7 linked regions of the Danio rerio genome follow. The protein of the gene in region 5 purifies or fractionates together with the protein of the main gene of each other region. This does not show direct contact. Links are inferred from orthologs where the notes say so. Each region holds a gene or a part of one and is shown on either strand. Other genes may lie near its edges.

The links.
Region 1: the proteins of chd4b (region 5) and zc3h18 purify together in Homo sapiens (affinity purification with mass spectrometry; 3 studies listed by BioGRID). This does not show direct contact. The link is inferred for Danio rerio from reciprocal best matches to the Homo sapiens genes CHD4 and ZC3H18.
Region 2: the proteins of chd4b (region 5) and snw1 purify together in Homo sapiens (affinity purification with mass spectrometry; 3 studies listed by BioGRID and IntAct, with this or other methods). This does not show direct contact. The link is inferred for Danio rerio from reciprocal best matches to the Homo sapiens genes CHD4 and SNW1.
Region 3: the proteins of chd4b (region 5) and adnp2b purify together in Homo sapiens (affinity purification with mass spectrometry; 3 studies listed by BioGRID and IntAct, with this or other methods). This does not show direct contact. The link is inferred for Danio rerio from reciprocal best matches to the Homo sapiens genes CHD4 and ADNP2.
Region 4: the proteins of chd4b (region 5) and usp36 purify together in Homo sapiens (affinity purification with mass spectrometry; 3 studies listed by BioGRID and IntAct, with this or other methods). This does not show direct contact. The link is inferred for Danio rerio from reciprocal best matches to the Homo sapiens genes CHD4 and USP36.
Region 6: the proteins of chd4b (region 5) and sap18 purify together in Homo sapiens (affinity purification with mass spectrometry; 3 studies listed by BioGRID, with this or other methods). This does not show direct contact. The link is inferred for Danio rerio from reciprocal best matches to the Homo sapiens genes CHD4 and SAP18.
Region 7: the proteins of chd4b (region 5) and zfhx4 purify together in Homo sapiens (affinity purification with mass spectrometry; 3 studies listed by BioGRID, with this or other methods). This does not show direct contact. The link is inferred for Danio rerio from reciprocal best matches to the Homo sapiens genes CHD4 and ZFHX4.

What each region holds. Positions count from the first base shown.
Region 1 is NC_133193.1:18,526,620-18,530,750, forward strand, and holds the start of zc3h18 (zinc finger CCCH domain-containing protein 18), read right to left. Parts: upstream 2,801-4,131; coding exon 1,901-2,800; intron 1-1,900.
Region 2 is NC_133195.1:5,545,895-5,549,394, forward strand, and holds part of snw1 (SNW domain-containing protein 1), read right to left. Parts: intron 3,489-3,500; coding exon 3,393-3,488; intron 2,472-3,392; coding exon 2,365-2,471; intron 1-2,364. UniProt on the Homo sapiens protein: Involved in pre-mRNA splicing as component of the spliceosome. As a component of the minor spliceosome, involved in the splicing of U12-type introns in pre-mRNAs.
Region 3 is NC_133194.1:23,184,530-23,188,649, forward strand, and holds the start of adnp2b (activity-dependent neuroprotector homeobox protein 2b), read left to right. Parts: upstream 1-1,320; 5' UTR 1,321-3,602; intron 3,603-4,007; 5' UTR 4,008-4,017; coding exon 4,018-4,120. UniProt on the Homo sapiens protein: May be involved in transcriptional regulation. May play a role in neuronal function; perhaps involved in protection of brain tissues from oxidative stress. May be involved in erythroid differentiation.
Region 4 is NC_133178.1:61,789,192-61,792,691, forward strand, and holds part of usp36 (ubiquitin carboxyl-terminal hydrolase 36), read right to left. Parts: intron 3,237-3,500; coding exon 3,051-3,236; intron 1,409-3,050; coding exon 1,293-1,408; intron 886-1,292; coding exon 754-885; intron 1-753. UniProt on the Homo sapiens protein: Deubiquitinase essential for the regulation of nucleolar structure and function. Required for cell and organism viability.
Region 5 is NC_133191.1:34,981,233-34,985,454, forward strand, and holds the start of chd4b (chromodomain-helicase-DNA-binding protein 4), read right to left. Parts: upstream 2,801-4,222; 5' UTR 2,609-2,800; intron 1,997-2,608; 5' UTR 1,982-1,996; coding exon 1,933-1,981; intron 1,100-1,932; coding exon 990-1,099; intron 1-989. UniProt on the Homo sapiens protein: ATP-dependent chromatin-remodeling factor that binds and distorts nucleosomal DNA. Acts as a component of the histone deacetylase NuRD complex which participates in the remodeling of chromatin.
Region 6 is NC_133184.1:22,881,634-22,885,431, forward strand, and holds sap18 (histone deacetylase complex subunit SAP18), read right to left. Parts: upstream 2,419-3,798; 5' UTR 2,304-2,418; coding exon 2,232-2,303; intron 1,371-2,231; coding exon 1,261-1,370; intron 1,180-1,260; coding exon 1,057-1,179; intron 981-1,056; coding exon 824-980; 3' UTR 501-823; downstream 1-500. Other genes in the region: uncharacterized protein zmp:0000001333, read left to right, coding at 2,556-2,733, 3,466-3,798. UniProt on the Homo sapiens protein: Component of the SIN3-repressing complex. Enhances the ability of SIN3-HDAC1-mediated transcriptional repression. When tethered to the promoter, it can direct the formation of a repressive complex to core histone proteins.
Region 7 is NC_133199.1:27,221,213-27,224,712, forward strand, and holds part of zfhx4 (zinc finger homeobox protein 4), read right to left. Parts: intron 1,830-3,500; 5' UTR 1,784-1,829; coding exon 1-1,783. UniProt on the Homo sapiens protein: May play a role in neural and muscle differentiation. May be involved in transcriptional regulation.

The sequences.
Region 1 (4,131 bases), on a different chromosome or scaffold from region 5:
TTGACAATAAAGCAGACTTTGACTTTGATGTAGTTTACAGCAGTAGTTCCCAAAGTAAGGGTTGGGACCCCCTGGTGGGTCCTGGGACAATGACAGGGGGTCGCTTGGTGATTTCCAAAATCAAATAAATTCTATTAAACAATTAGAATTACCAGATTTTACCCATAACCCACAGAAGAAGAAAAATGCAGTTTTTAATAGTAAAAAACAATAACATGGAAATGAAAAGCAATCAGCCTTTAAATATTTTTTTCATTGGATTGGTGTGTTTATCAATCCTATAAAAATCCAATAGTACATCCATTTGTAAATATCACCATATTTAACTACACTTAAACCCGTCTCCTGCACTTGCTGCTATTGCACTCCTGGTTAGACCTAAACTGCATTTCGTTGATTTTTACATGTGTAATGACAATAAAGTCGAATCTAATCTAATCCAATCTAATCTTTACGTTAGATTAACAACACAGCCATAGTGTCAGCTGCAGCAGATTGATTTTATAGCACAAGTTTAAACTTTGAAACCTTTATGGCAATCAAATACATTAAAAATAAATACAGGCCACAACTGAACATTCAGAATGATCTCCAAATGGTCTCCAAACTTAAACAAAGAATAGATTTGTGCTGAAAGCATTGTGTCTACCAGTCTCATAAGTTGAGGTAAATATAAAATTAAACAAATTAATTAAATGACTATTAAAATTATATGGTTGTTATGCTGTCAATTTTCTCGTGTTTATATAGGGCTATTGTTGTGTGAGCAATACTTGTATATTTATAACCACCTTCAAGGAATTTGGGGGTCATGAGTCACTGGCATTGTTATTTAAGTGGTTGCGGGCTGAAAAATTTGGGATGCTGGCATGGGTATGACTTAGTTGTATTCTATTAAGGGATTTTACGTCAATATAATTTAAATGAAAACTGTAATCCAAAATGATTAATATCATACTTAACAGGGTCTTTTGAAACGCAATATTTACCACAGGGTGGCTGAAGGAGTAGGACTGTACAATTAGGAGTTTTCACAGTATGAAAAACATTACGTCTATGGTGTGTCCCTGTAAATCATGTATACAAGTATGTGTGTGTGTGAAAAAATTCAAATGTTGATAAAGATCTTTAGACAATTTTTAGTTTTCAGTTAAATCTAAGGGACGTTTGGAACCAATCAAATGTATTTGTTTTTAAACTAACATCTTTAATCTGCAAACAGACAGAAAATGTTAAAAAAATGTTTTAATTATGGCTTTTACATTGTTACACAACATTCACACCAAATAAATGCTCTGAGCTCTGTATTTAAAGACTCCTGAAAAACATGAATCACACATCATTTTCAACTTTGATACTAATGTTAAATATTTCTTAAGCATCAAATCAATCTGTGACACTTGGGATAGAGTAATAACCACAAATTAAAGAAAAATTAGCTTTGCAATAAAAGGAATACATTTTATTTAAAATATGTTTAAAAATATTGTTTTAAATATTAACATACATCATTTTACTATGATATTTACGGCGATTACATTGTTATTTTTTTAGCACATTATTGTTTTTCATTTACAAAATGCTACCAACTCTAAAATTTTAGTAAAATGTCTAATTTAAATATAAATTAATACATTATGTGATGAGTTCATATTCAAAGAAGAAGTATTTTCTATTTTTAGCTTAAAAGTAGTGCAATTTGTTATAATAATAAAAAAAACTAAATATTGCATTCAATGGCTCCCTCTACTGTTACAACCTGGCTATACAATACAAGCAAAAAACCCTCATGCACAAACTTCCACAAATGCTGTCTGGTTGCATCAAAACCAAAATAATATTAATAAAACAAAAAAACAATATTAATCTGCAAAGTCACAAATGATTTCAGTATACTTACATCTATCTCTCCCTCATCGATCTCTCCATCATCCTCTTCTTTCTTTTTATCACGGAACGAATCTCTCCTCCCTCCTTCCCTCGAGTCCTCAGATTTTCTCAGGGGTGTGTCTCTGTTATCCGGAGGCAGAATGGGTTTCCTTTCCTTCCTCTTGCGCCTCTTTTCCTCCTCTTCGTCCTCCTCCTCTTCATCTTCTCCATCCTCCCCTACAGCAGGCTTCTCTGGCTCGTCTTCCTCAGGAGCAGCAGCGCTCGGCTCCTCTGGAACCTCTTCATCATAATCCAGCTCGTGTTCATCCAGATCTCTGGACACAGAAGACTCATCCTTCAGATCGCTCACAACCATCGCCGCTCTCCTCCGCCGCCTTCTCTCCTCTTCCTCATCCTCCTCTTCCTCAAGCTCTGCCTGGCCAAGGCCGGATTTGGTTGTCGTCTCATCTTCTTCCTCCTCCTCATCATCATCTCCTCGCTCTTCCTCTGCTGGAGTAAATGGTCGCTCATGTTCTGCCGCTGGCGAAACAGGATCTGGAGATCTTGGCGTCTCTAGGATTTCCTCCTCAGGAGACTTGATAGCCTTCTGCGCGATTTCTTGAACCCTCAAAGCACCCTCTTGTTGGTGGATGTCTTCTCTCTCCTCCCGGTCCAACTTGTAATCTTCCACATCCGAAAGCTCCTCTGGATCTTCTCGGCCAGCAGGCTGCCTGTCTCTGTCCTCAGAGTCTGAGTCTCCTCCATGCTCCGGGACTTCATTTTCATCGTCATTCAAGAGCTCACTGTCTGATACTCCCTTGTCTGCTTCTGCTGGGGACTCAGGCGACTCCAGCAGCTCATTGTCAGAGAGACCCTTCTCCTCCTCCTCGGGAGACTGCGGGGACTGGGTCGGGCTCTCAGGTGTATCCATTAGCAAGAACTCTGAAAAGGATATTCAACAACAGACAGAGTTTGTTTGTTTTAAAAATAAAAAAAGATGAAAAACATGTAACATTTAAAACAGTTTAACTTTGTCACTCACAAAAAATCATAATAAAAAATACATACTAAAATTAGGAATAACAAAATGTTTAATTAAATTAAAAACGAGTCACTGTTAAACAGCTAACATTATTTATAATCAAAAACAATTACAAATATTTATTTTTGATCAAATATTAAAAAGCTTCAAGGTAGCATTAAAATATATTTAAGAAAAACACAAAATATTAAGATACAAAACAATTTTGGTTAATATCTTAGATACTAAACTGACAGTTAAAATACTAATTTGCAGCATAAATAATACCTACTGTTGCACATGTGTAAAACAAATCTAAACAACACAGTGAAATGTCTCTTAACTTCATTTAGTAAATATTTTTTTATATTGTCTAGTAGTTCTTCTAATTGTTATATATATATATATAGTGCTCAGCATAAGGTACAGCCCATTTTGAAAATTAATATTTTCAACCATTTCTCAGTGAATTTAGGCAATTTATTTTGGTGCATTTGAACAAAACAGATTTATTCAACAGATAATTTAATAAAATAATATTTTAGTTACCAAACATATTTAGAAATTGAAAGAGAATACAATAAATCCATGCTAAATATTGCAAAAACACTTTACAACTAAATTAAAAACAAATTTTTTTTGCACAACCAACACACACACTTAAAAATTAAAGCTATTTTATTATATTTAAAGTAGGGCTGCATGATATGGAAAAAATCTGAAATTTGACATTTTCAATTATCTGTCATATATATTGCGATATTCATATAATTTCAGCAGATGACTTGAATACCACTTTATGGAATTAAATCATTCATTTAGATTTATTGGGTTAATCTTGTGGCAGAGTGAATCAAACAAATTGCAAGCATAAATAAGATAAGATTTTGTAAAGACAAAAGTGAAATATGCAGATTTCCAGAGAATCAAACAGTAGTCAAATATTCAGGTACAGTAATTAAATTATTAAATGCAATGTAAAATAATACAAGTCTTTATTGCTGATCAATCATAATCCCAAATTATTGCAGATACTGCGATGTGACAACTGCAAATGCACACAATGCGATATTGATGCTGAAATGATATATTGAGCAGCCCTAATCTAAAAGAAACCAAACATATATTTTGAATATGTATTTACATATAATGCACTAATATTAGTTTATCATTTTTAAAAACAACTAAGTTCATTATCAAAAATGACATTAAGCTTACACTAATATCAAAATCAATAACAA
Region 2 (3,500 bases), on a different chromosome or scaffold from region 5:
ACAGCCTTTGCTCAATACTTTGTTGATGCACCTTTGGCAACAATTACAGTCTGAAGTCTTTTTGAATATGATGCCACAAGCTTGGCACACCTGTCTTTGGGAAATTGTGCCCATGCCTCTTTGCAGTACCTCTCAAGCTCTATCAGGTTGGATGAGAAGTGACGGTGTACAGCCATTTTCAGATCTCTCCAGAGATGATCAATAGGATTTAGGTCTGGGCTCTGGCTGGGTCACTCAAAGACGTTCACCAAGTTTTGTGAAGTCAGTCTATTTATTTTGGCGGTGTGCTTTGGGTCAACATCCTGCTGGAAGACAAACCGTCGCCCCAGTCTGTGGTCAAAACCACTCTGAAGCAGGTTTTCATGCAGGATGTCTCTGTACATTGCTGCCTTCATCTTTCCCTCTATCCTGACTAATCTTCCAGTTCCTTCTGCTGAAAAACATCCCTACAGCATGATGCTGCCACCACCATGCTTCATTGTAATGATGGTATTAGCCTGGTGATGAGCGGTGCCTGGTTTTCTCCAAACGTAACGCCTGGCATTCACTCCAAAGAGTTCAATTTTAGCCTCATCAGAGCAGAGAATTTTGTTTCTTATGGTCTGAGAGTCCTTTAGATGCCTTTAGGCAAATTCCAGATGGTGAGTGGCTTCCGTCTGGCCACTCTACCATACAGGCCTGACTTGTGGATTGCTGCACAGATGGTTGTCTTTCTGTAAGGTTCTCCTCTCTCCACAGATCGCTGGAGCTCAGACAGAGTGACCATCGGGTTAATGATCACATCCCTGACTAAGGCCCTTCTCCACCAAGATAGCCGGCCAGCTCTAAGAAGAGTCCTGGTAGTTTCAATCTCCTTCCACTTACGGATGACTGAGGTCACTGTGCTCATTGGAGTATTCAGAGCAGCAGAAATTTTTCTGTAACCCTTCCCAGCCATGTGGCCAGAGACAATCCTGTCTCAGAGGTCTACAGACAATTCCTTTGTCTTCATGCTTGGTTTGTGCTTTGACATGCACTGTCAACCCTGGGACCTTATATAGACAGGTGTATGCCTTTTCAAATCATGTTTAATCAACTGAATTTACCACAGGTCAACTCCAATTAAGCTGCTGAAAGATCTCAAGAATAATCAGTGGAGCTTCACCGCAAAAGCCTGGTTTATACTTCTGCGTCAAGTGACCGGAGAAACCATTGGCGCATGCAACGCCCATAGCTTTGCATTTATACTTCTGCGCGCTGTCACTGTTGGTCTGCATTAACACTTCGAAATGCTAGTTGGCAGTGAGGTGTAAGTGTTCCTGTGTGAAGTCTCTTCGCTGCTGTTTTGCTTTTCCTGAACACTTCCTGGATGTACCAGCGGCTCAAACTCGCTCATTTTGAGGCAGGAACCGGCGGACGTGTAACAACTTTAACTATGAGGTAAACACAAAATAAAACTTTCCATCCGGAGCTCCTTCACGGGACTCCACACTTGTAAACAATCGCTCCATTGGGCTAGTGCCGTTCACACGGCTCTCGGTCCCGCCCAGACTCGTCAGCGATACCAAGCCGACCAATCACAGAGCTTGCGCTACGTGTTGTTGTTGTTGTAACATGTAGTTACATTTTTTGAGAGGTGCACGTCAGTGACGCCGCCGGCCACGGCGAAGGGCTATGCATCAACGCCGTAGCATACGCCGACGTTTGACGCAGAAGTATAAATCAGCCTAAAGGCCGTGTATACTTCTGTAGGTGGTTTTTCAGGCGTTTTATTTTTTAATAAATTTGCAACAATAAAAAAAAAAACAACTTTTTCACATTGTCATTATAGGGTATTGTGTGTAGAATTTAGAAATTAAAGAAATTGTGTGGAAATAAATTAATTTAATCCATTTTGGAATAAGGCTGTAATATGTGGAAAAAAAATAGGAAAATGTGAAGCACTATGAATACTTTCCGAATGCACTGTATAAAGAAAAATACACTGCCTCCTTCAAATTTTCTCCATCAACAGTATATGCACCATAATCTCCATTACCAGAGAAAATAATTGTCTCTTCAGTCTTTTTATAGCCAAATTAATAAAAAAAACATAAGGGGTCAACTATTCCAACCTCATAAAGGAATCTGACAATTTAAACGCTCAAACAATAAACTGTTTTAACAGTACAAAAGTTTTAACGAATTATTCATGCGTTTACATAATCACAGCTTTTTAACACTAGCTGATATGCTTTACTTTTTGAGAACAAGAAAGACGTTTATATATAGTATATTTTTTTTAAAGTAAATGAACATCATACTGATAAAACAGCCTAACTTGTACTAAAACCAGAACATTTATTTAAATTCGACAATTTCACATCATTCACAAGTCACTCTTACCGAATGTATTGCGCGGGGGCCTGTTTATCTGCAGCACGCACAGGCATAGCTGCCGCGATTTTCTGTGAAACCTGTTTCTCCAGAGCTAATCTGGTCTTTTCTGTAAGCTACATCAGAGGTAAAAAGAAAAGTTAATTCATGCTGGTTCTGCGTAATGACCATTTAATTTCATGAGGATCGCTTGATTAAAACATAAATATTTCCATTATCAATGCTGTTTTAACACCACAGTACAAAAGAGTAATGCAAGTTAAGGATTTCAAGCCAGTGCATGTATATTTAGGGTTTCAGCAGGTTTCTTTAAGTGTAATTTAAGACTTTTTAAGACCCTTTCAAGGCCAATATGAGTGAAATTTCAGCCTTATAGGGACTTTTTTTAATAGCCTGGTTACTTCTGTAAATAGTTTTTATATTAATGGAAGATCATGTAAAGGGATGTGTTGCATTAGTTTTCATTCCCTGATTAGGAAATGTAATTTGGAGAATTTGCTGTAAAAATGTCTAGAAGCTGTTGTGAATTGTATAATTTTGCAATAAAAAGCTTAAATATAAACAAAATAGTTTTAAGATGGATTATTGGGTGTCAGTCCGTTAGGGTAGCTTTACTTGGACACAGGAAAATTAAGACCGGTTTGAAATGACCTATGCCACTATATTTTAGTGAATTTAAGACTTTTAAGGGCTAAATTTCTGCTTTTAAAAGCATTAAGACTTTTAAAACCCTGCAGACACCCTGATATTAGACACTAGTGTGTAAATGAAGACTAACAAACCTAATGTTAATTAAATCAAACAACACTGATAGAAAATTGTTAAGCTTTCTTATTATTCAAAGTTCACTTCAGTAACTTAAGAAAAATGTTAACATTTACATAATTTCAAAATGACATGCATTAATTGTGTAAATATTTAATTATAGTATTTAATTTTTAAACAAAAGGGTACATTATAGCAGTCTTAAGCATGATTGTGAAACTGAAACAAAATTGTGAAATCTATCAGAAACTGCTACTGAATTGTAATCTTACCTCTCTCACTGCCTCTTCATCTGGTTTCTGCAGCTCTGGATCATCTTGGTTTAGCACTTCCTTAGGAAGCATGTCTGTGTATTTACTAAATATGACCTATTCAAAAAA
Region 3 (4,120 bases), on a different chromosome or scaffold from region 5:
TATATATATATATATATATATATATATATATATATATATATATATATATATGCTCCCTTGCTGCCCCCTGGGGTTCTCCGGAGCCCAGTTTCGAAACCCCTTGAATAATGCATGTTTACATTGCGCTAAGGGGTCAATTTGTTATGATTATTTCAATGGTTAAGCAATTATCGTCACTAAAGTTTGTTTTGTAACATCAAAACAAGACACTTCAAGTGCTAACATTTCTGCATCAGACATTATTAAATGTTACTTAATAAAACATGCACTGTGAGATTACTGTAACTTTTATTCATGAGGTGACACTTATTGTATTTTAATGACATTGTCAATTATTATGAAAATTTGGGTCCACAAATTAATATTTATTCAAGTACTTGTGATTTTATAAATTTATCTTTTTTGAAATTAATTCTTAAGCATTACATAGTGAGTGAGTTAAATGTCATAAATAAATCGCAAAATTGCGAATTTCGAAAATTTAATTTTCTAAAAAAATATATTTTTTTCAGTTTTCATCACGTTTGACATGCCAGCCTCTACATCACTCCGCTCAAATTGTAAAAAAAAAATCAATCTATAAACAAACCTAATAAATAGATGCGTTAATTGCGTCAATACTAAAATTCGTTAATAATTGTGCGATGCATGTTACGATGATCATAATTATTATTTAAAATGTTATCGAATCTAGTAAAATCCCACTTAAAACTTGCAAACGTGACTTAAATTTTTTTTAAATTACATTTTCGAACAAAAAAAGCGACTATCGTGTTGATCAAACCGTTCATTAAGACTAAAAAAAACTTCCAATGTTATGTCTGATGGAACTGTTGGTCATGACATAAAATCAAAAATGGATCATCAGAAATTTCATGCACCGTAAATGCCAAGCAATTTTTTTATATGCCTTAGCTAGTATTATTACTTGCTGGTCACCCATTGGATGAAGACTAGTGGTGTGAGATGACTTCAGCAACAAGACCCCTCCCATCTTGTGCAGTTGCTCAGCAACCAGCTCATTGTTCAAGGTGCCATCTAGTGGCTCTACATGTGAATTACAAGAAACCGCGCCCTCTAGTGGCCAGACCTCTTGAATGAAAATGCCTTATCATGATGAATACATGAAACATAGAAAGTAACCACAACCTGACTAAGTCTCAACTTAAAAGTTGATTATGCTTCCCCACGTGGTTACAACTGAGAACCAGCAGAAGTCATACAAAAGAAAGTTTTGGCATGTCAAGCCTGCTTAAATCCGATTGGTCAGGCTCGCAGTATGATAATTACCCTCTTGACGTCACTTCCCAGTTGTTCAATGCGCCATTTTCTCGACTCTAAACGGCAAGCACAATAAATGGGTCCTACTTCCAAATTTTAATAAATACAATTAATAGCTGATTTCCATAACTGAGAGCACAGACTTCTTGTTGGAACATCCTTACATCGTCTCATCATCCTAACTCGTCGGTTCTGGCAGACACGCGGATTGGTGAAAGTAGGTAAATCTCCCTGGGTCGGTGTGTGGCGCCGAAAAAAGCTAATGTCCTCACAATTAGATAGCGGCGAGAACATTAGCTTTTTCGTTCAGTTGTCGCGCGGTCGGTGTGATCAGGAAGTAGAACGAAGTGCATTAGCCGAGTGCTCTGAAGAGGTTACTTCATGACATCACTGCGCTATTTGGAATCTTGCTTTCTAGAAGGGAGTCTTTTTTCCTGCAATGTGAAATCGCTCTTGTCGGTTTTTTTCTATCGATGCGGCGCTCTTGGAATATTATTTTCGCCCGGCTATAGAGTTACACTGGACGCTATTGTTTGGAAATTTCCGTGTGCTTTTGGCGGCGGGGTTTTATACGTTTGGGCAGCGGTCGCAGTTAATGCTTGCAATAAATAAATAATTACAGCTCGAATTGGATATGCTTTTGGGCACATTTAGATCATGGAAGTGCAGTCATTTGCAGTTAGGATTAGTTTATTTTAATCGATGCAGAATCGAAATTTGTCATTTTTATCCTGCATTTGTGCCCAATATCTGACATGTAGCACAAAATGATTTTTCCACATGTTCGGTAATACAAAGCTGTTCTCGGTATGCAATAATTAGCTAACGTTAGCCTTGCTATTGAATTCACCAGATTGTGTTGAAAGCGCTACACATTCAACAGGCAGAGATGATGAATATATGTGGTCAAAAATATATATATATAAATAAATAAAACAAACACTTAATGTTTCTTTACCTTTCATCACTAGCATGCACATTTTTATAATGCTAGGATCTCATGTTTGTTTTTGAGCAATGGAGATGGGATGTTAAATCAGCCTCATAAGTCAAAAGTGAAAACAAGCATCGTATTTATAATTGTATAAGAGTTGAACTTCGAGGGAAAATGTCCCTAAGATCTGTTTAATTTTATTTTTGTGACAGACTTATATACTTGAAATTAAAACATGCTTATCTGTTCCTGAATTATGCAAGCTGAATGCATACTTAGGGATAAGGCTAATAATAGATATGCTTTTATCTATATATTTCAATGTATCATATTATATGCACATTATGCTATTATACTGTTACACTTACCACAGCTAATTATGATACTATAATGGGGTTACATATATTGTACATATATACATTTATTTGCTTGGAATACATTTTAAAAACTTTGAAAACGTCTGCGCATGTGCTTGACCCTGCATTCATATAGATGCACAGATTGCAATCTGTGCATGTGTTTAAATTAGTTTACTTATGTATAATAATGAGAAAGATTACATTAATTGAAATAAGTTCACCAAAAAAAAAATCAAATAACTTTTTATTGTACGTGTACTATGAGGAGTGAAAAGCTTAAGTGCTGGCTCCAGACAGTGCAAAATACAACATATTCCCAAAAAACAAAAACAATATACAATTAGCAGTGTTGACAGTAATGCATTTAAGACAATGAATAGGTGTACAGATAGTCTGACTGTTGATGGAAAATTGTTGTAGGCAATATTGTTTTAAGTAACGATTGGTTAAAGTGTAGTGCATGCTATGTCTTGAAAATACTACCTATTTACTCATCTTTGAGAAGTTCCTGACCTTTGAGTTTCACTATTATGCTGAACGCAAAATAATTTATTTTGAAGAAAGCTGAAAATCTGTAAGCTTTGACTTCCAAAGTAAAAAAAAAGCACATGTCATAGAAGTCAATGATTTTCAGCATTCTTCAGTATGTATTCCTTTGTGTTATGTATTCCTCCTGCTAAAGCAGGTTTTTAACAAGTGAAGATGACAGTGAATTTGTCACGTGAAATGATTTTCCAGGTTGGAATAAACTGTCCTATTTTTTTTCTTTCTTTCTTGAGTATCCTAATTATTAGCAAAAGCAATTCAGGCTTTGTTCACACATGCCCATTCACCTGATTTATTTATTTAAATCTGGACTGAATGTACACACTGTTATGCACTGATTGTATTTTGATCCTCACTGTACACTGCAATCGTTCAGGATCTTGTATATATATCCATGCTGGTTTCTATAGAAATTGTATATAGGTTGGTGTCAGCTTTGTGCTCTACAGACACACACAGTGACAAGCAGTAAACCACTGCAGGTTAGTTGAGCTGATAGTGGCATATCCCTACCAACATTCAAAACTACTTCATTTTTCTTTACAATAATCTTGGTCGAACAGTACAAATGGTTTCCATTTATAGTGTCTTGTTTTTATATAAATAGTTTCCAGGCTAAAATGTCTTTCCAAAATGTATTTATTTAGTTAGTTTATGAATGGTTGTGTGTTTAGACCTAGCTAGCTAGCAATTCCAAATAGTTAAAAACAACCTGAGCAAACAGAGTAGAAAATTGGTTTACATTTTTTTTGTGTAATAATATTATAATACTACGGAGTATTTATTGTAGTACTGTATAATTAGGCTAGATGATTTTAATAATCGTCTATAGATAATTATAAGATTCACAGAATAATGAAATATAATGACATATAAATCTCTTTCAGGTGTTGCACCATGTACCAGTTTCCAGTAAAAGGTTTGGAGAAGATCCGCAGAACAAGGCGAAAAGTAAAAAATATTCTTGGAGAATTTGGACTTGAAGCATGTCTTAATCTGG
Region 4 (3,500 bases), on a different chromosome or scaffold from region 5:
ACAAATAAGAAAAAATGTAAATACAAATAAATAAATATGTACAAATAAAACAAACACATAAAAAACAAATATTATAATAATATAAGTGAAAAACAAAAACAAATTTATACATAATGAATAATAATAATATAAATAAACAAATAAAAATAAATATAAAAAATGAATAAAAAAATACTAAAACAAAAATGTTAATAAATATAAATAAATAAAAATAAACTAATACATATAAATAAAAAATATATAAATACAAATATATGAAAATAAACAAATAATAATAGTAATAAAAAACAATTCATAAATAAATTAAAAAAAAAAAAATATATATATATATATATATATATATATATATATATATATATATATATATATATAAATAAATATAAATGAATAAAAATAAATAAAATAAATACATTTAAAAACAATTACAAAAATAAGTAAAATAAAAATATTTTAAAAAAAACTTTTTTTCTTAAGGAGACTGAAACATTTGAATCAGGATCAGACATGTTTTTATAAATAAGATGAGACTGGGCATCTTTCAATAGTTTTAGGTCATTTTCATAAACCTCAAAGGTTGACTACTGTATATTCAAGTAATACAATTAATTCAAACAGTCTAAAGCATCAAACTTAAGTCTTAGAAATTACAACATGCATTTAAAACCAATAATAGTAGAAAAGTCTTGTAAACTGGCCAAAAAAATGTCTTTATAGTTTAAAGCGGGGGAAAATTAAGAGAATAAAGTGAGGCACCGTTGAGTGTCGATAGCCCAGACTGCACCGTCTGCCACCCGTCACAGACCACATGTTACGATGTTCCTGGATCTTCTGGAAGACGTTTCCGTTCCACCTCCTGTCCTTTTTGTATTTTTTAATTTTCTTCACCTATTCGAATGAGGCAAATAAAACAACTTGTTCTATACACTTCACATGTATATACTTAATAGAACACATATACATAAACTCTACTGTCATATATGTCATGTGCAGAGTTTGTTATTTGAAACAAGCACAAGTTCTTTGTATGAAACAAAGCACTTTACTTGCATGTAAAGTCATCTTTTATGTACATAAATTCACGTTTGCAAATGTCAATTTCCTGCAGAACCTAAAATGGGATGTTGCGTTTTTGATCCAAATACAACATTTCAGACAATGTGCTCTGTAATGAAACTATGACTAGCAATATGTCTGTAAACTGTCTGCAGTGGACTATTAGTCTGAGATCTGCTTTAAATGACTCTTCAGTATTAGGCACAGAACATATGAGAGGTCAGAGTTTTAATCCTCACCTTTCCGCTGTCGAACTCACTATCCCACTCATCAATGACAGTCAGGTTTTTAGCGTAGCGTGAATCCTGAACGGCATCTCTGCTGATGAGTGACGGATCGCCTTCCCAACTGAGAACTGATGGATGAAATGAATCAAAACAGTCAACAATTCAGCTCAGCGAACCAAATCAAGTATTCAGATGAGAACTTCAGGAGATCTTAAACAGGGTTCTTACACCGTTTCCAACTTCAAATTCCAGCACTTTCCAAGCACTTTAAAGGTGCATTTGTATGCTTTTTCAGCACCTAACAACCACGGTTAACCATGTTTATATATGTTGTATGCATTTAATCACATTTGAATCCATTGTGCTATTTTAAAAAACACAATATGACATTTCACCTTAAATTGTTGAATACTCTAGAGCATAGATTTATTGGGATAGTTCACCCAAAAATAATTAAAAAATAAATTAAAAAAGTTTAGTTTTTGGATGAAGTATATTTTTAAGTTTGAGCTCATTCTTGAGATATCAACTTTAGGTAGAAAGAGACCAAAGTCAGATTTTGTTTGGGTGTAGTCCCAAACTTTCATGACCAGTTGTTCATGATATTTCAAGTGCATTGCTATTTTTTTACAGTATTTATTAAATATATATATATATATATATATTGAATTGGCGTTTCAGATGCATTCAAGTTGCATTCTGGGTGAATTTCTCCTAAATACGTATGAAGCTAATAATGCCAAAACAGTTTAACAACTGAACAACTTAAAACTGTATTTTTTACATACCCAATATTTGCAGTCTTTGAATTCAGAACCAAAAAATCTAAAGTTTGAAAATATGTCTACAAAAATTTGACTTAAATTTCAGATGTTTAATAATCAAGTTAAGAGTTTCAAATTCGGTTAAACAATTTTTAATAGCATATAATCAGTTTTATTAGCTTACAGGTGTTAATAATTTGACAATTCAAATTCAGATTGTTTTGGCATATTATTGGCTCCATACATACATGCATGCGGTGAACGTTTTGCAATAAAAACTAGACGCATGAAAACTATTTATGCACTCGCACATATGCTCTCAAATATATTTAGAGGTCACAGATGAAATTGTGCGCATATGCAACCAAAAGTCACAATTTCGAGCCCAGCAATTTCAAATTCAAGCAGGTACAAACACTTTGTTCAAAATCCAAGCACTTTTCTAACCTTGAAAACACAATATTAAAAATCAAGCATTTTCCAGGATTTCCAGCACCCGTAAGAACCCTGTTAAAGGAGTTTTTGGAGATTTTTTTAATATTTTGGATATATATATATATTTTATATATTTTTTTATTTTTTGGATAGTTAAAAACAGTATTTGGGACATTTCATATGCTGCAAAACAGTTGCTGGATGACACTGAATGTCTGTAACAAAATATAAAACATTCAAAGTATTTTAAATAGCCACTTAAGAGCTAAAATGTGCTGTTTACGTACGTGACCACTAAGCCCTAGGAGGTTAAATGTTCTGAGGCAGTTTTGTGGAATAATTACCATCTGGATCTATGCGGCATTTCAGATACAGGTAGTTTAAAAATGCAGTACATGTAAGAGTGACATCCGGTGGTAGAATAAGGTATTGCACTTCAAATTCAAAACACTTTTTCACTGTGCCCCTCCTCTGAAATACAGGGTGCCAGATTAACGACAGCAACAGAATCGAGCCTGACTATCAGGAAAAGGACAAAAACAAATGAAAAACACATTGATTGAAAGCTCACCCTCAGTTCCATAGGCTTTATCAGAGGAGTTCTTGAGGAGCTCCTGAACCACATCACAGCTTTTCTTGCCGTCCCAGCAAACAGGAACAGCGCAGGACTTTTTGCCAGACATGTCCTCTGCTTCTTCATGATTCTGGCTGCTCTTGAATCCATCTTGAACCTGACTGTCCCAAACAATCACTGGAGCTGAAACAGAAAACCAGAGAAAGGACTCATTTGATGTCTTAAGAAACCTTAATATTTTGGGCTTTTTTTACTCAAAGGTGATATTTCAACAACGTCTTGCCATCAACAGTTGACTACTCTTAGTGTCAGGATGAGTCGTTCACTGAATTCAACTGATTTGGTCACAGCTGCTGATTAATTCAGAATAAAAAAAGTAACTGTCTTAATGAAAGAATAAAGACAACATTGTGGCAATACAGGAAACTTATATGCCATCAACTTGTC
Region 5 (4,222 bases):
TGCTTTTTTAATAAATAATTAAATTGAATTCACCTTCGATATGCACTGTAACTAGATTAATGGGATTATTATTCTTTCTAAAAATTATTTTTAGTACTGCTTACCTTCTAAATGTTATATTAACCTCTATCACTTGATCAATAAAAAAGACAGACACACAAGTGCACTGTTAAATCATTTAAAACTAATAAATGTATAAAAGAAAGTTTAGAAAAAAATATATAAACTTCACAAATTACATTACTTATTTTATTATACTTAAATATTTAAATACCTAAAAAGTTAAATTAGGCATTATCTTGAGCAGCTGTTTTCCCACGCTAACTGGTTGATGGCTGCTTCTTTTCAAATATATACACTCATATTTGCTATAACTTTGCATGAGAACATCAAGTTCAGCTGGAGAAAGAAATGCTGATCTCTTTTATAAGATATTGCCATAGTCACTCGTAATGTCTGCGCTCCACTGATAATGCCTTTTTATAGTCACGGTGTGCGCGCTTAACTCTGAGTTGGTCTACTCGAAGTTGATTGACCCAACTCAGATCAGCTGTTCTGAAACCGAAAACTCAGAGTTTTTAATATCTCGGTAAATCAACTCAGAGTTCAAGTTTAAACTCTGAGTTGTTTGAACCTCCTTACTGAAACAGGCCCCTGGTCTATCTTCCCTGCGTCTGTGTGGCTGCTGTAGTGCATGTAATCAAACTCCTCTTTTCATGCAAACCTTTTCCTCTTTCGCCACTCCCACCTAAACAAAGCTGGACTCACCCACTTTGCTGACGTTTTTAAACTAGAGGTGTGAAAATACCCTGCTAAAACAGAGGGGGTTTCATGGCCCTTTAACAATGAAAACAGCTGCAGTGAAAACTCAGCGATACATTTTTGATCAATAGATAATTGAAAAGAACAGTAATTATATCTGAATAATGCTGAAACTATGTCACTGTTCAATCAAACGTGTCCTTGTGTATGTTGTGTTTGCGTGTCACCTCTCTGATGACTTTCTGTCGTTTGCTAGTCCTGCTTTCACGACTCTTCTTTGCTTTCTTCTTCTTTTTGGATTTGGGAGTATCTGTTTCTGATATTTGTTCTTCGATATCTGTTCAAAACACAGACGTGAATGAATCATACATGAAAAATTAAAAGCTGCACAATCCTCTTTCTTTTGATTGCATGTCTGTCCTATCCTTCCCAAGCAGAGAATATTATATTATGCATAAGACTGGAATATGTGAAATCCTAATTATTTTCTTAAGGACTAAGAACTAAATGCAATTAATGACTTTAATAGATGAACTTCTAGCCATTACAACAGTTTAGTCTTCAGAATACATCACTTTCATGCCTTCCTGCCTTAAGATGTACCCAACTGTCCAAATATGTTAGCAGCTGTGAAACTAGGGCATAAGGCTCTTGCTTTTGAAATCATTCATTTATTATAAGCTCTCTGCTGATAGGCTGCAATACCAGCGCCATTACTGAGGGCAGCCAGGAGAGGAAAAGCAAAACAAATGGGTTCGACACACTATGCTAAACAATATTCCGCGCGGTGTGATTGCTAAGGTACAAAATCAAGCTAGTTTCGCTTTTAATAAGTTAAGTACAGTATCAAATAGGTTTCTCTTCGTTTAAATGTGCTGGTTGTAATACAAGCCAGTGAATCAGGAAGTGACTTCTGCATGCTGATGCTCCTTCATAAACTAAAGATTGTACTTAATAGGTACTGCGATGCGGTAACACGTGGCTTGGAGGCTCAAACAAACAAAACATACAAACATTCAATCCGCCATACTCTTCCTCACAGAAACGGCCATTTGTCCAGATCTACGTTGACAAGTCAGCAGTTCATTTGCATGTTTGGGCTCATTTTGGGAAGGTTATATAACATGATGTGGTTAATGAGGGTCCGGACTCTGTTCTGGACAGCCTTACCGTCTCCCATGGGTTCAAAGCGGTCCCGGTCGTCTTCACTCCCCGACATTTTCCCGTTTGGACGCTGAATAAAACAGAAATGACCACAGTATTTTGTAATGGGCTTTAGCAGCACCCCATGTTAACACCGAGAGAAACAAGTGACACGGGAGGCTAACTGTGTTTAGATTAAATGAAATCAATTAAACATGTTGGCATGTCATCATCACACGGCGTGCAGTGTTAAAAAGAGTTTGACGTAGTCGTATAATTTCGGCTTTTTTCGTAAACTTTCTCGTTCGGTCCGAGCAAAGGAAGCCTCAACTTAGCTGTCAATCAAGTTAGCAAAGCTAGCAAACAGAGTCAAGTGATCCGGCTGCAGGGAAAATGGCAGCCGGCTGGATGAGTTGAGTTAAAGCGCTTATCTGCTGTCGTTTCTGGTTATATTCGTCAACCTAAAACTTTCCTCCATGAGAATACCACGCGGAGGTGGCGAAGCCCCCGACAAACACCATATGGCGCGTTATGACGCGAGGTATAGCAGTTGTAAGTAACAGTTACCAGTAATATTACGTTTGTATGTTTGTTTTCTGTTTTAAGCTACATTAAGAAAAAACTCAACAAAAACATACATTTGTATATCTACGTTATATCGTTAACGCGGGCGGTTGGAAGTGGGTGGGAGGAATTGACTTACAGGTCAGTCCAAGGTGTAGATGGTCGGCGCTACGATCAGCTTTTATTCTGACGCGAAATCTGCAGGTTACTACCTACCACTACAAAAATAAAAAAACAAGCTCCGAAAAGGTGTAAATCTTTGGGAGACGTCGTCCACTCTTCTCCCCTTTCCCCAGCGTCAGTGACCAGAAGCGAACATCCTCGTACACACAAAGAAATCAGGGGGGGTAGAGACATCCCATAATAATCCCAGGCACACTGCCCCCTCCCTACAACACTCACTCAACTCTGCATAGTTACCTCGCAACCTACAGACCATAATACTCATCTCCCCCTCACACACAGTAGCAAGTATACACTGCCTTCCCCTTTCTTAGTCCCTGCCCCCTTAGCAACCGCGTTGCTATGGAGACACTGCCCCCTCCCGCCCTCTCTGCCATCCCATAATACTAATAAGCAGGCCGCTCTGACATCCCATAATAAACACAACTCCTAAAAGAGAGGGAAGAAAAAAAACAACACCAGTCACATGGTCTCCAGGGAAACCCCAGGCCGCTGGCGACAGCCCATAATAATCTGCGGCTGTCTGTCCACCTGGCTGGGTTTTTGGTGCACGAGTGACAAAAAACCCATATGAGCACCTGGTTAGAAGTCAGGCTAACAAGTAGTGCGCTTCGGGTATCTGTCAAATGCCACACACTCACAAGAGCCGCAGTTCCCAGTTTCAGAGGTGATGAAATGTCATCAGCGCTTCTTTTAATCGCATATCAGGCCCGGAGATTGATGAGTCTAGGGGAAACGGTGAAATAAACACTAACTTTTGTGAACTGCGTGTGCTGTGACAATCTCAAAAAGAAGCCCGGGACATGCTTAGAGAGTCTGAACTCCGGTGACTTCAGCTGCTTGGGCTTACAACAGGTCGAGGAGACTTCTCAAGAGAGGAAAATGCAGAAGTTACATTCTCATCCGTACACATTTAGATTTGGCCAAGATTATCTATTTAAAGCAGGAGGCAAACCTAGCAGTCAGTTCTATTTATATGCATACGCCATGTCTTATTATAGGAACTTGCCATTCATAAAGACAGATGTGTCACTGCGTTTCCCATATTTACTCAAATGTCATAGAACTGACCCTAATGCTGAAACACAGCCAGCTGACAGCAGAGCAACTAGTTACATACGCCATCAGATTAAAAGGTTAGTTCGCCCAAAAATGACAATTCCAATCGCCTGAGACCTTTGTTCATCTTCAGAACTTAAATGAGGATATTTTCAATTAATTCCGAGAGCACTCCCATCCTTCATAGACAGCAATGGTCCGCAGACATTCAAAGTCCGGAACAAACCCTGTCAAACCCTTATATGTGACTTCAGTGGTTCATCTGTAATCATCCCAAGCTCCGAGAACACTTTTGTTTTCCAAAAAAGCTTTAAGAATGACTGTTCACCTATATCTTCTCATCCATGTCAGGCTGAAAGGGTGTGTCTTTACTGCAGGCAGTGCGTAGTACTGCCATAGGGTATATGCAGAGCTAGTGTTTCTTCCCATACTGATAAACCCTTCGGTGAACAGTTAATGTGACTTTTTACATTTTACACGGTTCCTTTTACAGCATCGATGTTGTAATGTA
Region 6 (3,798 bases), on a different chromosome or scaffold from region 5:
GTTTGTTTGATTAGGGTTAAGGCTAAACTTTGCAAGACATTGGCGCTCCAGGACTGACTCTGGACACCCCTGAGTTACAGTAGATAAAGCCAGATGGACAAAATGCTTTTGCAGTTTAACCTAACTACAATAAACGAACATACAAATGCCAACAAGGCCAAATGGTTACTTTATAGCTACATGTTATTTTGGAAATTTCCCACATTTTCTGCTACTGAATGTGAGGTACGGTTCAATAGTAGGGTTGGGGTAAAGTTTACTGTGCGAATACTATACTTTTAAATTGTAAGTGTACTTACAATGTACCAACTTGTACATCTTCATATTCTGCACTACATGGAAAAAGTACAAAGTAGTTAGAGACAACTATAAAGTTACTAAAGCTTAATCATTAGTGCATTCATTCTGAGATCTACTTGCTAAATTGAAATATTTATTTAAACAATGAATACTTCATTTAACTAAAAAAAGGTTTATAAATGATACGACTTTAGACAAGATACTGAAAAAAAAAAACATTTATTCATGAATGATTTGAATCACGCTAACAGGACTAGAACTAAAAAGGTAGATCTGATAAAAAACTCCACAAAGAACATAATATATGAAAAGACTTTCCTTTTTACTTCCAAATCGAGATTATCAGCTCAATCATGCTGCTATTCTGCATAAACCTTCCTGCAGAGTTTAGTTCCGACATAAACACTCGATCAAATCAAAGTCTTGCAGTTCACCTGAAAAGCTCAGACAAGGGCTGAACTAAACTCTGCAGGAAGACAGACTTCACCCCTTTCATTTAAATGCAGTCAAGTGTTGTTTCAGGTCAGTAGGGCCTCATGCGTCCTTGGAGAGGCGGTGCGCGGTTAGGCGGAGTGATGGCAATGTCAAGATAATCTCCGATCTGAAAGCTTTGTGACTGAAGCGTCATCGAGTCATCTGCACCTTTGCGCCCAGAAACTGTGTTGCCAATTTCTTTAACCCTGCAATAAAGCCAGTGGAGTTATAAAAAATCCATAACAAATCTTAACACAGTATTAAGAACTGTGTATTCATTACCGGTAGATTTGTCGTTTGGGGTCTGGGTAAACAATGGCGAATCCAAAATGTGTGCCTTTCTTCCGAGCTTCCGGATAGACTTCCTTCACCAGGCTTGTCAGTTCTTTTAGAGTAGCATCCATCCTGCAGCCAAGGCATATACAAATCAGGATTGTATGGTTCAGTTGATCATTGATGCAGTGCCTGTTTTATAATAATACTTACCAGGTGTAAATCTGAAGTTCACTAGAGGGCACGTTCCCCCGGGCAAACTCATCCATGCGATGGTGCCTTCCATTGTTGGTGGTGAACACTCTCAGGAGAAGTGGGCATGTCTGCACAACGAGCACAACAAACACATGTAGAAAGTATTAATAACAATGTCTTTTAAAACAATCAGACATGCAGATGTGTCTGTGCATCCAATATAATGGTTATTAAACAGTTGGCACAGGATCGTTAGGCAGGAATCAAACTCGGGTCACCGAAGTGCATGTGTTGACGCACTAACCACTGGTGCAGATGTAATCTCATTTCTTAACCAACATCAATTCTGATAATAACTACAAAAGTAGTTTTAACACTAAATTGATTTATGAGAAATATACTTTTCTGTGCAGATTTTTAGAGGTTATTTGTCTTTAAGTCGACGATCAGAACAACATTTGTATTACTTTAGTTCATTTGGCCTGAAATGAAAACATGCTCAATTTTACTCCAAAACAAAACTGAAGAAATGTGCCAAAAATATAATGTTAAACATTTTTTATATAATTGCGTTTTTAAATGGAAGCCTGTTAACAAAGAGTATGTGACTTTTTACTTAAATGGCACTGGGATGGTTAAATATTAGTCGACGTTTTTTTACCAGTCCAAAACAGAATCTTGATAAGAAAATGGGTAAAATATATTAAAAGCTTAATAAAAGCAACTTTTTATTTGCCAGAATGTACGCTATGCTACATTAACAGATAAAATGAGTACAAAATAAAACAAAAAGGCCAAATGTCTAAAAGGAATGCACACGGTTTAAGATACGATTTGTAGTATAACGTTGCAACTAGATATTTTGTAATGTTTCTGTGTACCTACATTTTTAGTTAGCGTTAGATTTACAAATTAGCTTAGCATGCAGGACGCCTCGTTTGTGCACGAATATTCGCGCCACTGACGAACAGAAGTAACTGAAAACAAACCTTTTCTCTATCCACTGGCTTTGTTGGCTCTTTTTTGATCTCCTCCTGTGTGACCCTCGATTCCACAGCCATTTTTATCTTATTTGTTGAAAGAATAAGCGATGAGTCGCTGTTCACGACGCCAGTAAACGCTCGATCGCGGCGCGGTGAGATGATATCATCATAGCCAAGACAGCGAGGACCAATCACGACCGACCGGTTACGACTAGTGAAATGACGACACACTCGTGTCGCCTACTCTCCCCCACCGCCATTTTGGGAGTCAGATTGTAAATATTACTAGTTCAGGAAACCAAATACGTCCACTAATTTGGTGGCATTAATATGGTGCACACTTGCGTAGTGGCCGGTTGTCGGAACAGGAGAACTCCAGGGACCGCGTTATCCTTTTACAGGTTTCCCCGCGACCCGGAGCGGAAGCAGCGCTGGATCGCTGCTGTGAATCGTGAAGGGTGGGTGCCAAACGAGGGCAGCAGACTCTGCAGCACACACTTCATTTCAGGTAGGGTAACATCTTATGTGGTGCATATAGCATGTGTAGGTTAGCAGTAATCTAATCTCTGTGATGGTTGTAAATATGTCTAGTAATGTGTTAAATGGTGATGAAGCCCTGCCTGATGCCTACATTACTCTTACTGTTATAATGCACTTTAGGGCTTGGGTTCAATACAAATGTGGACTAAGCTATTATTTTTGGGGGGGTAAACGCATGGTATTGCTCACTAAATTAACATGTGAAAAATGAATGCGCTGTTTTTCTTTTATATTTCTTGATACAACACAATTTAATATGCCCTATAGTAAAATAATTATAATGTGTGTGTTTGTGTATAAATATATATATATTAATAAGCCATTGGTGCCATCTGGAGGGAGAAAACAGATTATATGTAATAACACATTATAACCACTAGATGAATGTGTAAAAATACTGTATCAGACGATAGTTGCTTGTAAGAGTTTGCATTTGTGTATTTTAATATTTAGACTTCATCAAAGACTAATTGTCTGTGCTTGATTTGGACAGTTACTGATTTATACTGTGTTTTAAAACTGTCTGATGCACTGAAGTTGTACAAAGAAACGCTTATAAATTGAGTTGCCTGGTGAATTTGCACATTGTTTTTAAGTGTCTTATAAACCATAACATTTTAATTTATATAAATTATTAGTTTTTTTTAAAGAACATGAATGCACTCTTAAATACATCAATGTTTTTTTTTTCCATTTACAGGAAAACAAGTGAAAAATCCTCGATCCCCTGATTTTGTTCCTTCAGTTTTCACCTCAGCGCCACTTTCCCCAAATATGAAAGAAGCAGGTTCTTGTGAAATGTATGATAAACAAGAGGCACAAGTGGAGGCCGCCAATGCTTTGCTCTTTTTGCAAGGACAAGGGCGTTTCTTGGAGGAAAATAGCCAGATGACAAGTCAAGAAGAGCCGGAGAGTGTTTCCTCTTCACTGAGCAGTTGTGACGAGGAGGATGTTAAGACTGAAGATGCTGTAAAAGAAGAAATCTCACAAACAAGCGTACTCCAAAGAGGACAACCAGTCAAAAACATTCCCC
Region 7 (3,500 bases), on a different chromosome or scaffold from region 5:
AGCCTTCTCCTGGGCCAGGGGTGCCAGGGGTGCTGGGAGTGGCAGCATGCTGGTGCAGAGGGCCTGGGCTTTCATCATCTCGTCGCATCAGGTCAAGAGGAAGAGATGGCGGACTGCCACCCCTGCCACTGATGGAGTCGCAGCTGTCTTTGCTGCCTCCACTAGTAGAGTCATTGCTGTAGTCCAAGTTGGCAGCAGCATGCTTTGTCTTCTCAAAGTCATTGGCAACAGTCACAGAGGAAGTAGTACCCCTTTCAGTAAATTTTAGCACACTGGACGATAAAGGAGAAATGCTTTGGTTTAAGAGAGGGAAATCTTTGCTACTGGTACTATCCTCAAGTTCACAAACACCATCGTCATCAAGCTCATTTGAATACATGTCTTCCTCCTCAGCGTCGGCAACATCTCTAGGCTCGCTTTTGATGGGGAGCTCACCATTTGCATGCAAAGTGCTAAGGTCCTTTTGCCGTTCACAGTTGCTCTCCTGATCCCTGTACCCAGCCCCTGGTGACGAGCGCTGGAGAGACACAGAGCTGACGGGGGACTTGAGAGCCGAAGTGGCCATGACCCCGAGGTTCAGTTCAGCCTTTGGCATCTGGGCACTTCTGGGCGACTGGTCTGCAGAAGATGCCAAACTGGCACTACCTTTCAGAAAGGCAAAACCAGCCTGTAGGGAATCACCGTTTTCCATGTGAAAGGTGTTCCACAGGCTGCGAATGCCTGGATCAGGGCCCATGAAGTTTGCAGTAGAAAAGTGTGGTAACATAGAATTGTTTTTTTTTGGTTCCAGAAAGCTTATAAGAGGTTCTTTGTCTTTACCAATGCCCTGTATGATGGCAGAGACATATTTATTACTAAGGAGCTTTTGCTCCTGCTCATTGAGGGTCATCCGATGATCATGCACAGCATGGGTTACAAATGACCTACTATAACCAAAAGACAACTTGCACAAGAAACACATCAGAATAGGTTTCCTTTTCCCATCACTAATGCAACCATCAAATTTAGACAAGTCCACATTGTTTGGAACATCTTTGGACACACAGGAGTTTTTGGCTGCACCATCAATGGTAAGATAGTCTTTATCACTCTTGTGTCGGAGATCGTAGACACGGAAACTGTGCAACACAGGACCTTCTCCTGCTAATGCTGAGGTATTTGGGAAAGCCTGATCGGCCGTAAATGGTTTCCCGAGGGATGAAGCGATGTGAAAGGTATTGATCACTTGTGGATAAAAGGACATGGGGGCTGTGGCCGACTGCTCAGTCTTGTCCCCTGCAGCAGTTTGGGAGTTTGAAAACAGTGCTGGGGAGAAGAGGCTTTTGACCCCTGACTGGGCATTCTGACCACCTTCTTTGGAGTCCTCAAGAATAAAAGCTGAGCCATCTGGCTGGTAAACTATCTCTCCTGTCAGGTTCTCTACATCGCTGTCCTCAAGGTCACTGACCTCGCTTTCGTTCTCGTCCTTCAGAAGAGGAAGGCGAGCATTCGGGCAGTGGTGCTCCATGTATTTTTGTAAACTCGAGAAGGAAGTGGCACATTCGTTGCAGGGGATCTCTTTAGTGGCCGTGCCTATCGCATTCTCTGCACTCAATCCCGATGCGATCTCTCGAAGGCTCTCCTCCGTCCTCAGGTTGTCATCCGCAGGGCTGTTTTCCTTGTCAGGCTCCATCCCAGGGACTTTCTCTGGCACCTCATTATCAAGATGTGTCGTCTCACGTAGCTTTGATATCTGCTGCCCATTTTCCTGCCTTAAGAGAGAAGGGGAGTCACAAGTTTCCATGGTAATCGCTACATGGGGATCTCATTTCATCCAGCCTGTCAGGGACCTGCATAAATAAAAAAAACAAGAGAGAAAAGACATTAGAACGTGTATAATGATGGCGGACCTGATATTCAGCAAGTACTGTCCTTGATGTTTTAGAGAGAATTCTTGTGTGGCAATTACTCATGAATTAGCTCAGAAATGAGCAGCAGTTATGGAAAATAGAAGCTTGATGTTTTTCAATGCGCAGACAAGCACTGATTTTAGCTGAGGTTAACAAGAGGTTTTGATTGTTAAAAGAAGTTTGAGTATTAGACTTTCTCAATAACTAGAGTACACCAGTCCACTGCCACACAAAAGCTTCTGAGAGCCCCTTTATAACTGCAACATAATTACAATAAGCAAAGTAAAGGGGGAAGGACCACCACATTCAAATCATGATCATTTTGGCAGAGATTGGCAGTATCTCTATGTTATTCAGTAAATCAGCTTACTCCAAATCTTCCCTATGAGTGATCCCCCAGCAGGTATCTAACAGGCCCTGATTAAGCAGCCATCCAAATTCTAACCTACGCTTTGGCCTCTCTGACAATCACCCCAACCTCAAATTAATATTTAGCACATCCAGTCCAGTCACCCCAGGAGAGCCATCTCGCAATTTCTTTTCACTTTTTTTGTTTTTCATTTTTCATCCTTGGCAGCTCACAAAAACCCAAGCACACAATTTGAAATACCATTGCGATGTTATCTATCCTGGATGGCTGCCCATCTCCCAACCGTCACTGCCTCAATCAGGGGCTCTCCTGGCTTTCACAAATCATACGCGCACCTTACTGATGAAAACCCTTCAGTCATATTTTTTTCTAAGACCACAGACAATTTATTCTCAAGGCTGGCAATGCAAAAGACTGAGACTCGGCACATAAGTTTGGATGCAGAATAGAGTTGGATCTAAAATGTATGTGCCTACCATGCCCAACCACAGAGAATAAGGCCCAGAGTGTAAAGAGAAACCCAGCTGCTCCAAATTTCAGGGTGATATCTATGTCTGCAAAAGAGGTAGAGATTTGTGGAGAAGGCCAACAATGACAGGCTTGCATCTGCTGTGCTTTCAATTAAAATGAAATACATTGAAGACAGACTCTGAATTTTAAAACAGCAGCCCTGTCTGTCATGCCAGGCTTTATTTTCTAATTATTCTCAAGAATATAGGAAATCTGATAATAGCTTATTGAACACGATGCAATTTGGAAAAGTACTTTTTTGCCCAAATGTAAATAAGGGTGAAAGATGATATAAAATTAAACAACAATTACAGCCATGCCTTCCCTACCAAGCTATGTTCAATTCATTTTTTTGTGATACCTATTCTGGTACAAAGCAATTTTGGGATTAATTTAAATGCGTCTTGGCTTAATATGCTTGGTATATTAATATAAATAATATAGCAATTATAATATTTTACCGCTTCAATAATTCAGCTAACAGAAGGAATCACACACAGAAATAAAAATGTATATAAGCTATAACAAGTAAAAAACGTAAAATATTATATTCTATTTTAATTATAATTTGGATAATAAACAAAATGGTGGGGGTGATCTGCACAATGCACTGCTGTGAAAAAGACCTGATTGCTCCCAAATGCCCTGAGAGCAAAACTGTGCAGCAATTAGTGCTAAATTAGCACCAATTAGAATTAGCTGCACACAAAAAGAGGGGAAAAGTGTGTCTG